2 linked regions of the Arabidopsis thaliana genome follow. The protein of the gene in region 1 interacts with the protein of each later gene in a pairwise test. Each region holds a gene or a part of one and is shown on either strand. Other genes may lie near its edges.

What was found.
Region 2: the proteins of Y14 (region 1) and AT1G15280 interact in a two-hybrid assay, tested with the Arabidopsis thaliana proteins (one study listed by BioGRID).

Annotation. Positions count from the first base shown.
Region 1 is NC_003070.9:19,102,411-19,108,321, forward strand, and holds Y14 (RNA-binding (RRM/RBD/RNP motifs) family protein), read right to left. Parts: upstream 2,524-5,911; 5' UTR 2,344-2,523; coding exon 2,073-2,343; intron 1,760-2,072; coding exon 1,623-1,759; intron 1,114-1,622; coding exon 959-1,113; intron 708-958; coding exon 662-707; 3' UTR 381-661; downstream 1-380. Other genes in the region: AT1G51520 (RNA-binding (RRM/RBD/RNP motifs) family protein), read left to right, coding at 4,379-5,094, 5,294-5,440, 5,563-5,742, 5,829-5,911. UniProt on the Arabidopsis thaliana protein: Core component of the splicing-dependent multiprotein exon junction complex (EJC) deposited at splice junctions on mRNAs.
Region 2 is NC_003070.9:5,249,042-5,254,952, forward strand, and holds the start of AT1G15280 (CASC3/Barentsz eIF4AIII binding protein), read left to right. Parts: upstream 1-3,243; 5' UTR 3,244-3,351; intron 3,352-3,478; 5' UTR 3,479-3,496; coding exon 3,497-3,894; intron 3,895-4,246; coding exon 4,247-4,346; intron 4,347-4,504; coding exon 4,505-4,710; intron 4,711-4,789; coding exon 4,790-5,484; intron 5,485-5,692; coding exon 5,693-5,795; intron 5,796-5,911. Other genes in the region: AT1G15250 (Zinc-binding ribosomal protein family protein), read right to left, coding at 1-21, 128-263, 338-340; AT1G15260 (LOW protein: ATP-dependent RNA helicase-like protein), read left to right, coding at 793-1,329; AT1G15270 (Translation machinery associated TMA7), read right to left, coding at 1,792-1,872, 2,409-2,450, 2,804-2,859, 2,964-2,979.

The DNA.
Region 1 (5,911 bases):
GGCTCAATGCACAAAGTATAGATGATTGATTCGTACAAATGAAATCATGCAACCTGTGAGTAGCAAGAAAGTACATGCTCTATCTCAAATCATCAAACCTTTGATGATTTCTTTTAACATATTTAGGATACGAATAGTTACGCCTATAAAAACAAACGATGTGAATATTGCCATTGATTGGAAAATTTCAGCCAAAATATTTAATAGTCATTTGATGATTTCTGTTAACATATTTAGGTTACCAATAGTTACGCCTAGAATAATAAACCAGTGTGAAATAATGCCATTGGTTGAAAATTCTTTGATTTTTTCTATATAATCATATTTGGTTTTCTAGTGTAATGGAAGGTCTTTGATTTTCAAATTCTGTCTGACCTAAATATGAATCAATAAGAGAATGAAAATTAAAACATTCTTCCTCATCCAATGTTTCTCTTCTTTTACCAATACAAAGCATTAAAACAGATCTCATGGTGTTTAAACGCAACAATCCCATGCAAATGCATAAAGAGATAAACCAATGCAAAAGCAGCCAAACCCTACAAAAACCCCAGAAAAAAATTTGTTCAACACTCAGCGTCTTGCATCAGTACCTTACAGATAAGAGAGGGAATCCCTAATACAGAGAGATATGGGGAGAACTCTCCACCAAATCATACAATCAGTAACGTCTTCTCGGACTTCTTGAACGTTGCGACCTCCCATACCTGTAAAACCCCAATGATCAATGGATGATGATTTAAAGAAAGGTATAACTACTTGACAAGTCACAAGTGATTTCGATTCATTAGCATAAAGACAGTAAAGTTTGGTAGGTGCTTAGTACAATATACTACCTTGTCAACTGTTAAAACTTCTAAGTCTATATCTTAATTGATACTTTTTGACACTCTTGACTTCATATCGGCACAAGATCAGACAAGTCGTAGCGGAACAGAAAAGAGATTAGGATACAAACCTCGAGTTCTTTCTCCTGTAAGATTCACCACCACTGGGACCGCTGCTGAAGGCCCAGTCAACGCTAACATTCTGTGTTAGAAGCTCAGCACCATTCATTGCTGAAATAGCGCTCTGTGCTTCTTCCTTCTTCTCATATTCTATCAAAGCATATCCCTTATCAAAAAAAACAAAAGCAAAGTGTTACTTCCACTTCCATGAGAACTCAAGCAAACTAAAGAAAAATAATATTTGATTCCTAAACTCGCATCTAGAAGACAGCTTATCTTATTCGACCCGTCATTTCTGACACTTTGAAGTAACTTAAACGAAGTGTCCTTAGGGAACAGCATTGCACTTTACAGAATATTACATCTCCCTCTTAAAAGCAATGTAACATTGCAAAGATAAATTTATCATTTTTGGCTCTCAATTTCAGATATTCAGTATTACATTGATTAACACAAAGCATGTCAAAGAGTAAAGTCAACATCTACGACAAAACAGTATTGCATTCATCTCTAAATTACATCATGACAACAATCCAACAAATCAAGCTTCACTATAACAAACCAAAAGGCAAAATGATATCAACATAACTAAGCAAAAAAATTAGCTTCACAATAACTAACCAAAAGGCATAATGACATCAAGAGCCACTAAGAAACAAAGGCAAAACTCCATACCTTGACATAACCACTACGGCGATCGAGATTGAGATTTAGATTCTTAATCTCCCCAAAATCACCAAAAGCATTGGTTATATCCTCCTCCTGTGTCTCCTCATGAACTCCAGAGACCAAGATAATCCATCCTTCAACGGCTACACATAAACACACACAACAAACAAATTCATCCAAAACAGTCCCAATTCTTCATTACCCTCAAAGAAACTATGTTCTATCTTCACAGACTCTAGAACCATTACATTTTTTATAATGGTTACAAACTAAATCTAAACCAATCTAATTTTTTTCAAAAAACTTCTAGGTCAAATTGAATCCCAAACACAAGGGGTTATGAGAAACCCTAGAACAAATTACTACCACAAATAAATCAACAACGCGAAGAATCAGTATGCCAACACTAAAACCTAACTAAAAACAGCGAAAGAGGAAGAGATTTAGTGAAATTACATCTCTGCGGACCAGGACGGCCATCTGAACCAAGTGATTCGAAATCGCGTGAGGAAAGACGACGCTGACGATCGGAATCTTTCTCCTCGCGAAACCCACGGCCTTTGGTCTTCTTTGCTGATTCGCCATTAGCTCCGGCAATAGCCGACTTAAGCCTCGGATGTCCCGCGCGTGGAGAAACATCAGCTCCGTCAATAGCTGTACCTTCTTCGTCCATAAGGTCATCCTCCTCTGGCTCGAAATCGACTGCTTCTGATTCTATGTTCGCCATGACTTCCGCCGCCGTAAGATTTCCGATAGATCTCTTCCCGTTTCGCCGACTGATTTTTTGTTTCCTTTGTTTTTGGGGACGGAGCTCTTTCTTCTATCAAGATATTTCTCTGCCAGTGTTGTTTATAGGAATATATTGGACCTTAAGTGGGCTTATTTTGGGCTTTTACGCTTGTATTTCTTTCTCACGCTAGTTTTTCCTTTTCCCTTTTAAACAGGCTTTGATTAAACTCCTCTCGTCAATGTTAGTGGGCTTATTTTGGGCTCTTACTTTTTTTATTTATTCTTTCACGCTTCAGAGTAAGCTAAGCCTTTGATTTTTTAGGTTTCTTACAAAACAGGCTTAAGCCTTTGATGAAAACTTCTCTTGTTAATGTTACATTATCTGAATTTCATATGTCGAGAGTGAATCATGGCATACCTTTTTAAGCATTCATGATGTCAAATTATTGTATCACTTCATAATTAGGATACTATCAATCATATTGTGGTATTTAACACTTTACAGTCGATACTGGTCCATCTCTTTGATGGTGATCATCATTGTTTTATCCGTTTGCATACAATCATTATAGTCGAATATTGCTTTCTAATTCCCACTCTAATCTCAAATAAATCTCGTCCAACATGTTCGACCAAATTCTAAGAAAGAAAACATAGAGAGATGCAAAGCATTTAAAGAAAACAAATCTTAGTTCGTCGCCAATAATTACTTACGTCATTTAGAGGAGGGGAGAGCATTAATTTGGAAAACATTTATTGTCTGGTTCTGTTGACTAAAGTAGTACAAAACTCTGGTCAATTTACGACAACTATTTAACAACACACGTGTCCTTAAAGAAGCTATATCGACCGTTGATATAATATCTAAAGATAATCTTAACGGGTAGGATTTGGAAATGAAGTAACCGAAGACCGTACACTCGTTACAGTGTTGAGGAAAAATTAATGTCATGCGCGAGTTTTGGTGTGACGGGGAAAAGAACAGCTGCCTGACAAAATTTTGTTTTATGGGATGGGATAGGGTAATTGTTGTCGATGAGCCCTATACTAAAAATAGTAGACTTCACAGTTCAAGTGACCGTTTGTCTTTAGCTGGCCCGGTCATGAGAGTTAAGGGCAAAAAATATTTTACGGGCAGGTCCTAATATTTATAGAGTATACTTTTTCTTTACGGGCAGGTCCTAAGATTTATATAATCTATACATCACAATGCTAGTTTTCACTTAGCTATGTTCAGGGATAAGCCTGGCCCTTATTCATTTGGTTTTGTTTTTTGATAGAGTTTTTGACCTCATTTTTCCCCTTTTACTTGCAGGTTGTAACGCCAAAGAGTTTGGGAGAAAAAAAAAATTAAATCCACCAAACAGTTGTAATTATCAATTTTGTTGGAACCAAGTGATTCCCATTACTATAGGTGAAGAAACTAAAATCTTTATTAGTATAGAGTATAGAAAGTGGCAGACCAAGAATTTCTTTTTTTTTTTGGGGTCAAATAATTTAGTTAACTAAAAAATTACTTTATATAAATTATTTTAACTAAATAATTTAATTATCTCCAATAATCTTTTACTGCAAATATAAATTGTTCTTCTAACAAATCAATCTAATAAACAAAAAAACAAAAACGAAAACAATGTATTGAAAAAGCTACTTTATCCATGAAAAAGGGAATACATAGTGTTGATACCTACTAAAATCTGTTACTACAATCTTTTTAAAATCTGTTAATGCTCTTAATTTGCCAAAATAATCAGGTCAATATATATGATTTCTTTCCATTCTAATCTCGCTCTTTACGAAACTTGAATATCCCTAAAAATCGATAACAGTTTCAAAGAACAATAAAAACAAAAAAGGTTCGATTTTTAAAAAAAATTGTTTTTTTTGCTAAATGCTTTTTACAAAGACAAAATCATACAAAATTCTAAAAGAAACATACATTTATGATTTAACGCAAACCCAAAAAGAGCCTTCACCTTTTTTCTCTTCGTCTTCTTCACCATCTTGTGGGGAAAAACAAAACTTCTCCGGCCATGGATCCTGGCGACCCAACTTCAATAATCTTTTCAAAGATCAGAACTTTCGAACTTGAGAACGCTTCCAGAGTCATTGACTATTTTCTCTTGCAAGACATGGAACAAAGAGATTTGATTCGAATTGCTTTTGGTCCTGACTCTCTCATACAGACTTTCTGTCAGAAAGCTAAAGTCGATTTAGGTTTTTCCTCGAACGGTTTCTCGAGACCCATCAATATCCATGGCCAGTCATTGTCCTCGTCTTCTCCCAGAAATGGGTTCTTAGAGTTCTCGAGAAACCCTAGTAACCCTTTGTCTTCTTCGTTAACTTTGAACACACTCAGAGATAATAAGCCTAACTTCAATTCTAGTCCTTTTCGTGAAAGTTCATCACTTTTTGCCTCTTCTTCCGGCGATGAGCAGCAGCAACAACAATTCAGTAACAACTTTCTGTTCACAAACGACGAGGACCCATTTGCCAATTCTCACAAGAGGAGTTTCTCTGCTAACGATGCTTGTTTTGAGTCAGAGGAACCATGGTTTGGAGGAGGAAATGGTTGTCATCAATTTCCACAAGGCGGTTTAGTTGATGGTTTTGGTTCCTCTGGTGTCTTTGGATCGCCGAGTGAGATGGATTACATGCTTGAGGGGATGATGAGGATGAAGTTAGCTCAGCAAAAGAGCATGGTTGCTGCTCAGTTTATGGCGGCTTGTGGCTCTCCAATGTTGCATAGGTAAGTTTGGGATTTTTTGTTTTCTTTCTCTGTGTATGTTCTGTTAGGAAAGACTTAAACTTTACACAACAAGAGTAGTAGCATTTTAGCTTGAGGCAAGTTTTTTTAGATGGTTTTGGTTTGTTCTCTTGGTTTTGTTGTATCAAGAAGTTTTGAGCTCTGAGGCTTGGTTTTCCTCATGGTGATTGTTTCTTTGCAGACACGGATCAGGACATTTTGGAGAAGAATGTGGTAACTATTTTAGTCAAGGAAGGCATGAAAGAGAGGATTCAGTCTCTAAACAGATTTACTTGACATTTCCATCTGAAAGCTCCTTCACTGATGAAGACGTCTCAACCTATTTCAGGTAAATCATGTGTTGTGATATAATCGGGTTATAGATGTAAGGAAGGACTCTGTTTGGTGTACATTTGGATTAGGGAGTCATGTTTCTTTGTTTTGACTGTCATGTTTTTTTTTAATGTGTAGAGATTTTGGACTTGTGGATGATGTGAGGATTCCATATCAGCAGCAAAGGATGTATGGGTTTGTAACTTTTGCTAAGGCTGAAACTGTGAGAACCATATTAGCTCGTGGAAACCCTCATTTCATATGTGACTCACGTGTGCTCGTTAAACCATACAAGGAGAAAGGAAAAATCCTTCAAAAGTAATGCTTGGTCCTTGTTACTATTTATCATGTTTTTTTCTTTCTCTTGGGCGTTTTCTTATTATAGTTTGGTGAAACAATAGCAGGAGGCAGCAGCAACAACTACACGAGTTGTTGGAGAGAGGGAACTATTCACCTTCTTCAAGTCCGTCTGGAAAGGACTCGAGGG
Region 2 (5,911 bases), about 14 Mb from region 1:
TTGCCTTCACACTCCAGTTATCTGCACACAAAATCATAAATTCCAGGACTCTTTCATATATCTCCAATTCTCCATGATCAGACCCAAAATTCCAAGACAGAGACAGAAATAGAGAGAGAGTACATACATGTCCTCTTTCTGGCAGCTGGATAAGCACATGCCGAGCAACGACTCTTCTGGATGTGAAAGCTCCGGCGACCACATCTCACACAGAGCGTGTGTGACTTGTTCCTCCTCTTACCAAAGCTCCCTGTTCCTTTACCCTGTCATTTCCAAAGCACCGGTTACACATAAGTCACACATGAGCTTACATGGAAAAAAAATGCCAATAGATTACCATTGCCGCAGATGCAGGGGATGATCAAAGTTTGCTCTACAGAAATCTTTGCGGCTCCGAGAAGACGACTGTGTAGCGTCCTTTAGGGTTTTTCCTACCCAAAATGGATCTTCATTGGTTACCGCCAAAAATATGGGCTTCTTAATGGGCTTCATGGGCCTGGTTCTGATATTACCTCGAGTCAACTGGCATACAGTATATATAATATGAGTAGTGAGTGGTGGTGGCAATGATAAGTAGGGGACCAATTTTGAACACTGCTTATCAATGTGATGACGATTGCTTACCTATAAAAGTGGACAACACAATCAACAAGATGACACCTTCTTAAAGTCTGACACTATCAGCTTGCTTCTTCAACTACTACATGCCACTAAATCAATGTTAGGTTTCCTTTTGAGATCCCTAGTGACATAAATATGGTTATCTTCTCAAAAAAATGAGCAGCAAGAAAGATGATGAAACCTACATCAAAATCAATTCAGAGAGTTGGTCGTTTCTTAAAGAAGACTCTTGGGAGCATCAAGTCCACTATCTGCTCTAGTGATTACAAAAACTTACCTAACGACACTCCTCTCTTGAGCCCTTACTCCTGCAGCCGCCGCTGTCCAGAAGATTCCCAAACCCAAACCAAAGAAAGCTACACCGTTATCTGTTGTGACACGGCTGTGGCAGATACAACACACCAGAAGAGTCTCAACAACCAACATAAAAAGAAACCGAAGAAAGTCGCTGAGCCATTCGAGGATGCAAAGAAAAGAGGTGACGCGTTGGCGCAAAAGATGAAAGATCTCAATATGGTGGATCTGAGAGACGTGGATCACGCATTGGATGTAAGGGAAGCGCTTCGATGCTATTCAAGCATCAGAAGTCCTGTGTATCTTGACATTGTTGACAATTTCTTCACAGACATGTATTACGAGTTCTCTGATCCTCGTACCTCTGCTAAGATCAACGGTTCAAGGAGAAAGGCAGGCTCCTTCAGGCTTTAAAGTTCCTCTGGATCAGCTTTGCTTTCACGGGCTATCTGTAGTTCTTTCATCTATAGAGTATGCACTTCTTAAGAACAGTGTTAACCATTACACACACCGCTTTGGTAAAATCACCTGTCACCACCCTCAGTTTCTACCTCATCTTGTAGAGTCAAGTTACGCTCCTATTCTCAACTACTATCAATGCAACATATTTTCCACTTCAAGTTATGACAACTTACAGTTTATAATACTATATCTGAAGATAGAGATGTGACACCCTACTACTCGATTCTTGACAAAATGATTTTAGGGTAGATACCACTTTTCTTTTTCATGAAAAAATGGAGAAAGCAAACATATGTATGGAGAAGCGAAGTTACTCTTCTCGAATTATGATAAAAAGTTACATCAACACAGGATTATCTGTTTTTTTCACTTGATAAATTTGCATTTTAAAACACACTTCATGGATAAAACGGATCATTTCTTGCCACTCTTCTTAAGTCCAGAACCTCCAAAGGATCCCTTCTGCGATGCCTTGGCTCTAAGCTCTTTAAGGGCCTGTTTTATCATTTTCATTCAAAACAAAACAGGTCAGGCTTTCGGTAACAAATGATCACTGTACTTCTCATGCGAAAGAAAGGCTAATGAGTCTTTCACACAATTGGGTGGAAAAAAAGTAGACTAAACATCCTAACATGGGCAAATGGTCACTATTTCATCAAAGTAAGAAGAAACTAGTCCATATCATCTCAAAAGAATCTGTAATGAATACCCCTAAACTAACAAATAATTAATAGAAATGACCCATCTAGTTGTAGTCACCAGCTATAAAGTCATAATTAGAGTCAGCTTGATTAGTAGACCAAACTGACAAAGTGGAACATATTAATGCACAACCTTTACAAAACCTTTACAAACCTATGTATCTAAACAGAAGCTCTCTTGTGAAGATACAATCTTTGATTCGTATTTTATAGCTTTCCATTGAAAGAGGAGCCCAAACATATAAGTTTAACTAGATGCATTTTTCCAATCACAAAACTTCATATGAACAAAAAGAGAAAACAAGTCAGAGCATCAAAGTGGGAACTCACCTTTTCCTCATCTTTCTTCTTCTGAATGTTAGCTAAGTCAGTCTGCATTGATACCAAATCAACATTTCAGCAATTAGAGAATGTCTAAGAGTCATTAATACACAAATAGTATGCAAACAAAATCAAGTGAAGAAGTCAAGACTGTGCCCTTAAAAACACTGGATCAAAATTCGAACTTGCGTATAAATCATTGAATCCGAGCAAAATTAATGATTTATGAGTCACTGAATGTTAACAAATTTTAAGAATTCAAGTTAGTTGGACAATCAAAACCAGATCCAGAGCAAAAGCATCGTTTGATTCGAGGTCTAAAGCTAACAATATAAGCCGATTTAGCTGAAGGCAAATCAACAGAAAATCCAACTCTTAAAAGAAAAAAGAAACAGTAGAGTCACCTCGTCGTATTCCTTCTTATCAGCTTTAGGCTGCTTCAAAGGTTTCGCCTTTCCTCCTGTTTAAAACCAAAATAAGATGAGCAGATCGTAAACGATGTCTCTAATCACTTTATTCGGTGAACGAATCACCAACTCAAATCTCTGTATAACAGCAACGTACCTTGCTTGGAAGACATGATTGGTTCGTTGAGCTAGGGTTCGATGTTGAGCTCAAAATTGGGGAAAAAGTAGCTGAGAGTTGCAGACGGTATCGAATCTCTCTGATTGGGGCTACGGTTCATATTTATAATGAGTTCGTAGTAACAACGCAACCTATTAAATGGGCTCTGAAAGTGTATGGCCCATTAAAAGGCCTACAAATTTCTTTTTGGGCCCGTTAAATACCTTTATTTGGGTCAACCTAGGTCACAGTCGTTATATTTAATGCGCGAAATAACAAAATAAAATCGATTAATTAACAGTTAACAAAAGGTCTGGCTCCATTCGATTTCATTGGAAACCCCCAAAATCGCTGAAGAACGCCTCTCGAGCTCAGATAGGGTTTATAGGTATGCGCGAGCTTTCTTCTACATAGTCGATTAGTACGGAGCGCTTGAGCGACTCTTTCGATTTCTCAATTGAATTTCTTCTTCATCTAGGTTTTGGATTTACGAGTACCACTCTCCTTTTTTTCAGGTTTCTAGAGAGAATTTCATGGCGACATCTGAAGCGGAATATGAGAGTGATCCCGAGGAGCTGAACCGCTCCTTGGCGACGAGGAGGAGAGAAGCGAGTGATGACGATAGTGATGATGATGATGCTGTTAGAGATGTGAAAAATCAGAGGGCTGTGGTTGATTCTGACCTATCTGATGAAGAAGTTGGTACTGTGAAGTATGATAATGACGAAGATGGGGAGGATAGTTATGAGGATGATGAGGAGGAAAGTGGTGGAGGAATCGATAATGATAAGAGTGGTGTGGTGAAGGAGGCTGGTGATATGAATGGAGAGGAAGAAAATGAAAAGGAGAAGTTACAAGCTGCTGTTCCCACTGGTGGAGCTTTTTATATGCATGATGATAGGTTTCAGGAAATGTCTGCTGGCGGAAACAGGTTTACTCTCTTTACTGTGTTTGTTTTTCACAGCTTTCTCAATCAATTCTGCTTCAAAATCTGTCACTATAAGCTATCAAGTATCAACTCAACCTTATTATGCAAGGGTTGGATTTTTCAAAGTAGGTATTAACTTAGGATGAAATTGTATTTAGAGGAGAGATAATTGACTCTAAGGTGGAGTTATTGACCTCTTATTATCTTGCAATTTTATCAAGCATGAGGGGTTTGAGTAGCTGCATTGGGGATTGCTTAGTTCATACTATTGGGAAATATGATTTTTTCTGAATATAGCTCTTCCTCTCTACCTTCTATCTGTCGATTGATATAGTTCTTTATCTTGCTTTCGTAGGCGAATGCGTGGTGGGAGAAGACAGTGGGGCTCTGGAGAGGAAAGAAAATGGGGACATGACAAATTTGAAGAGATGAATACTGGGGAAAAACATTCTGATGTAAAGCTTCTGTCTATGGTTTTTAGAATAATTTTAGATTCCTCTTATCTCTTAATTGCTATAACATGTACATGTGACATATGTTAGCTTTGTTGTATTTATGCACTTTCCGTCTCTTATCTTTTTCCTTTCTTTCTTAAACTGCATTTGATACACAGCAGAGGATGTCTAGAGGCCGATTCAGAGGTCATGGTCGGGGTAGGGGACAAGGGCGTGGATACGCTAGAGGGAGCAGTTCTAACACATTAACCAGTAGTGGACAGCAAATTTATGTTCCTAAAGCTGTCTCACGAGGGAGAGGACCCAGGAAATCCGACACTCCCCTGAGGAATGAAAATCAAGCACATTCTGAGCAAAGCAAACAGTGAGTTCTTAAAAAAAAAATCCCCTAGTTGAGTGAAGGGTTTTCTCTATTATAATGTACTTGTGTACTGAATTTGTAGGTTACGAAATTCTAATGGGTCTCAAAACTCTCGTGAGAAAATGCCACACCTCGATTCACGGCGTTCACCAACTGCCCCTGCTAAAACTGAGAATCAAGGTGCCCATGCCAAAAAGAATGTAGCTGTGTCAAGTTTGAGTTCCGCTTCTCCTCCATTTTATCCTTCAGCGCCGTCCAGTAATGTGGTACATGGTATACAAGTTAGTATGGAAAGACTCCACACAAATGAAAGTGTCACGCCTTCTGGGAAGAAGTATAGGAATACAAAATCCGGTTATTCACCAGTTTGGACTGCCAAGACTCTTCAGTCCACTAGTCAAGGTAGAGGTGCACCTGCTGCTGGGAACACGTTTTACCCGCAATCTCATAGTCAAGGTGACAGATTTTCATCACCAATGCAACTCAATGGAGATTCAAAAGGCACTGGCCAAAGACCTTCCGGCCAGGGTTTTGATCAGCACTCTGCTGTTGTTAGATCATTGTCTTCCTCTCCCCAGAAAACTAGCTTATCAAGAAATCGGTATCCTCCTGATGAAATAGAATCTTCATCGGAAACAGCTGCATTGATTGCTAAAGGAAAAGGGACTCTCAGGCCTGGTGGAAGCAGCTCTTTTATGTATAGTGGATCCCAAATGATGGGGCGGCCAGAAAGTTTGACATCTGCTGACAATTCTAATTTCCCTACTTTTCTGCCTGGTAAGTTTTTTGGATGACGCTTTTCTTTGTAAAATGGATGAGTTGAAAGAATTTTCAGTTTCAAATCATGCATGGTGGTGAAATTGAAAGCTATTGACGCCGAGCCACCTAGGCCTGGTTGTTCATATATACTATTTTCGGAGTCCTGTTGTACCAGCTTGGGGAGATTATTGCATTACTTTCTAATTAAATTCAAATTGAAATGCAGTTATGCAATTTGGTGGTCAGCATGGTGGGGTTCCGACTTTTGGAATGGCTTATCCAGGATATGTCCAGTCTGAAGATGGTGTTAGAAATCCGGAGATGACATGGTAAGCTAGCTCCTTCCCCTTCTCGATGAACTTTGTGGATGCTAGTTTTCAGAAGTTCTTGGTTGTAAGCATTTCAAAGAATTAAGAATTAGATATCGTGCGTATTGGTTGCTGAA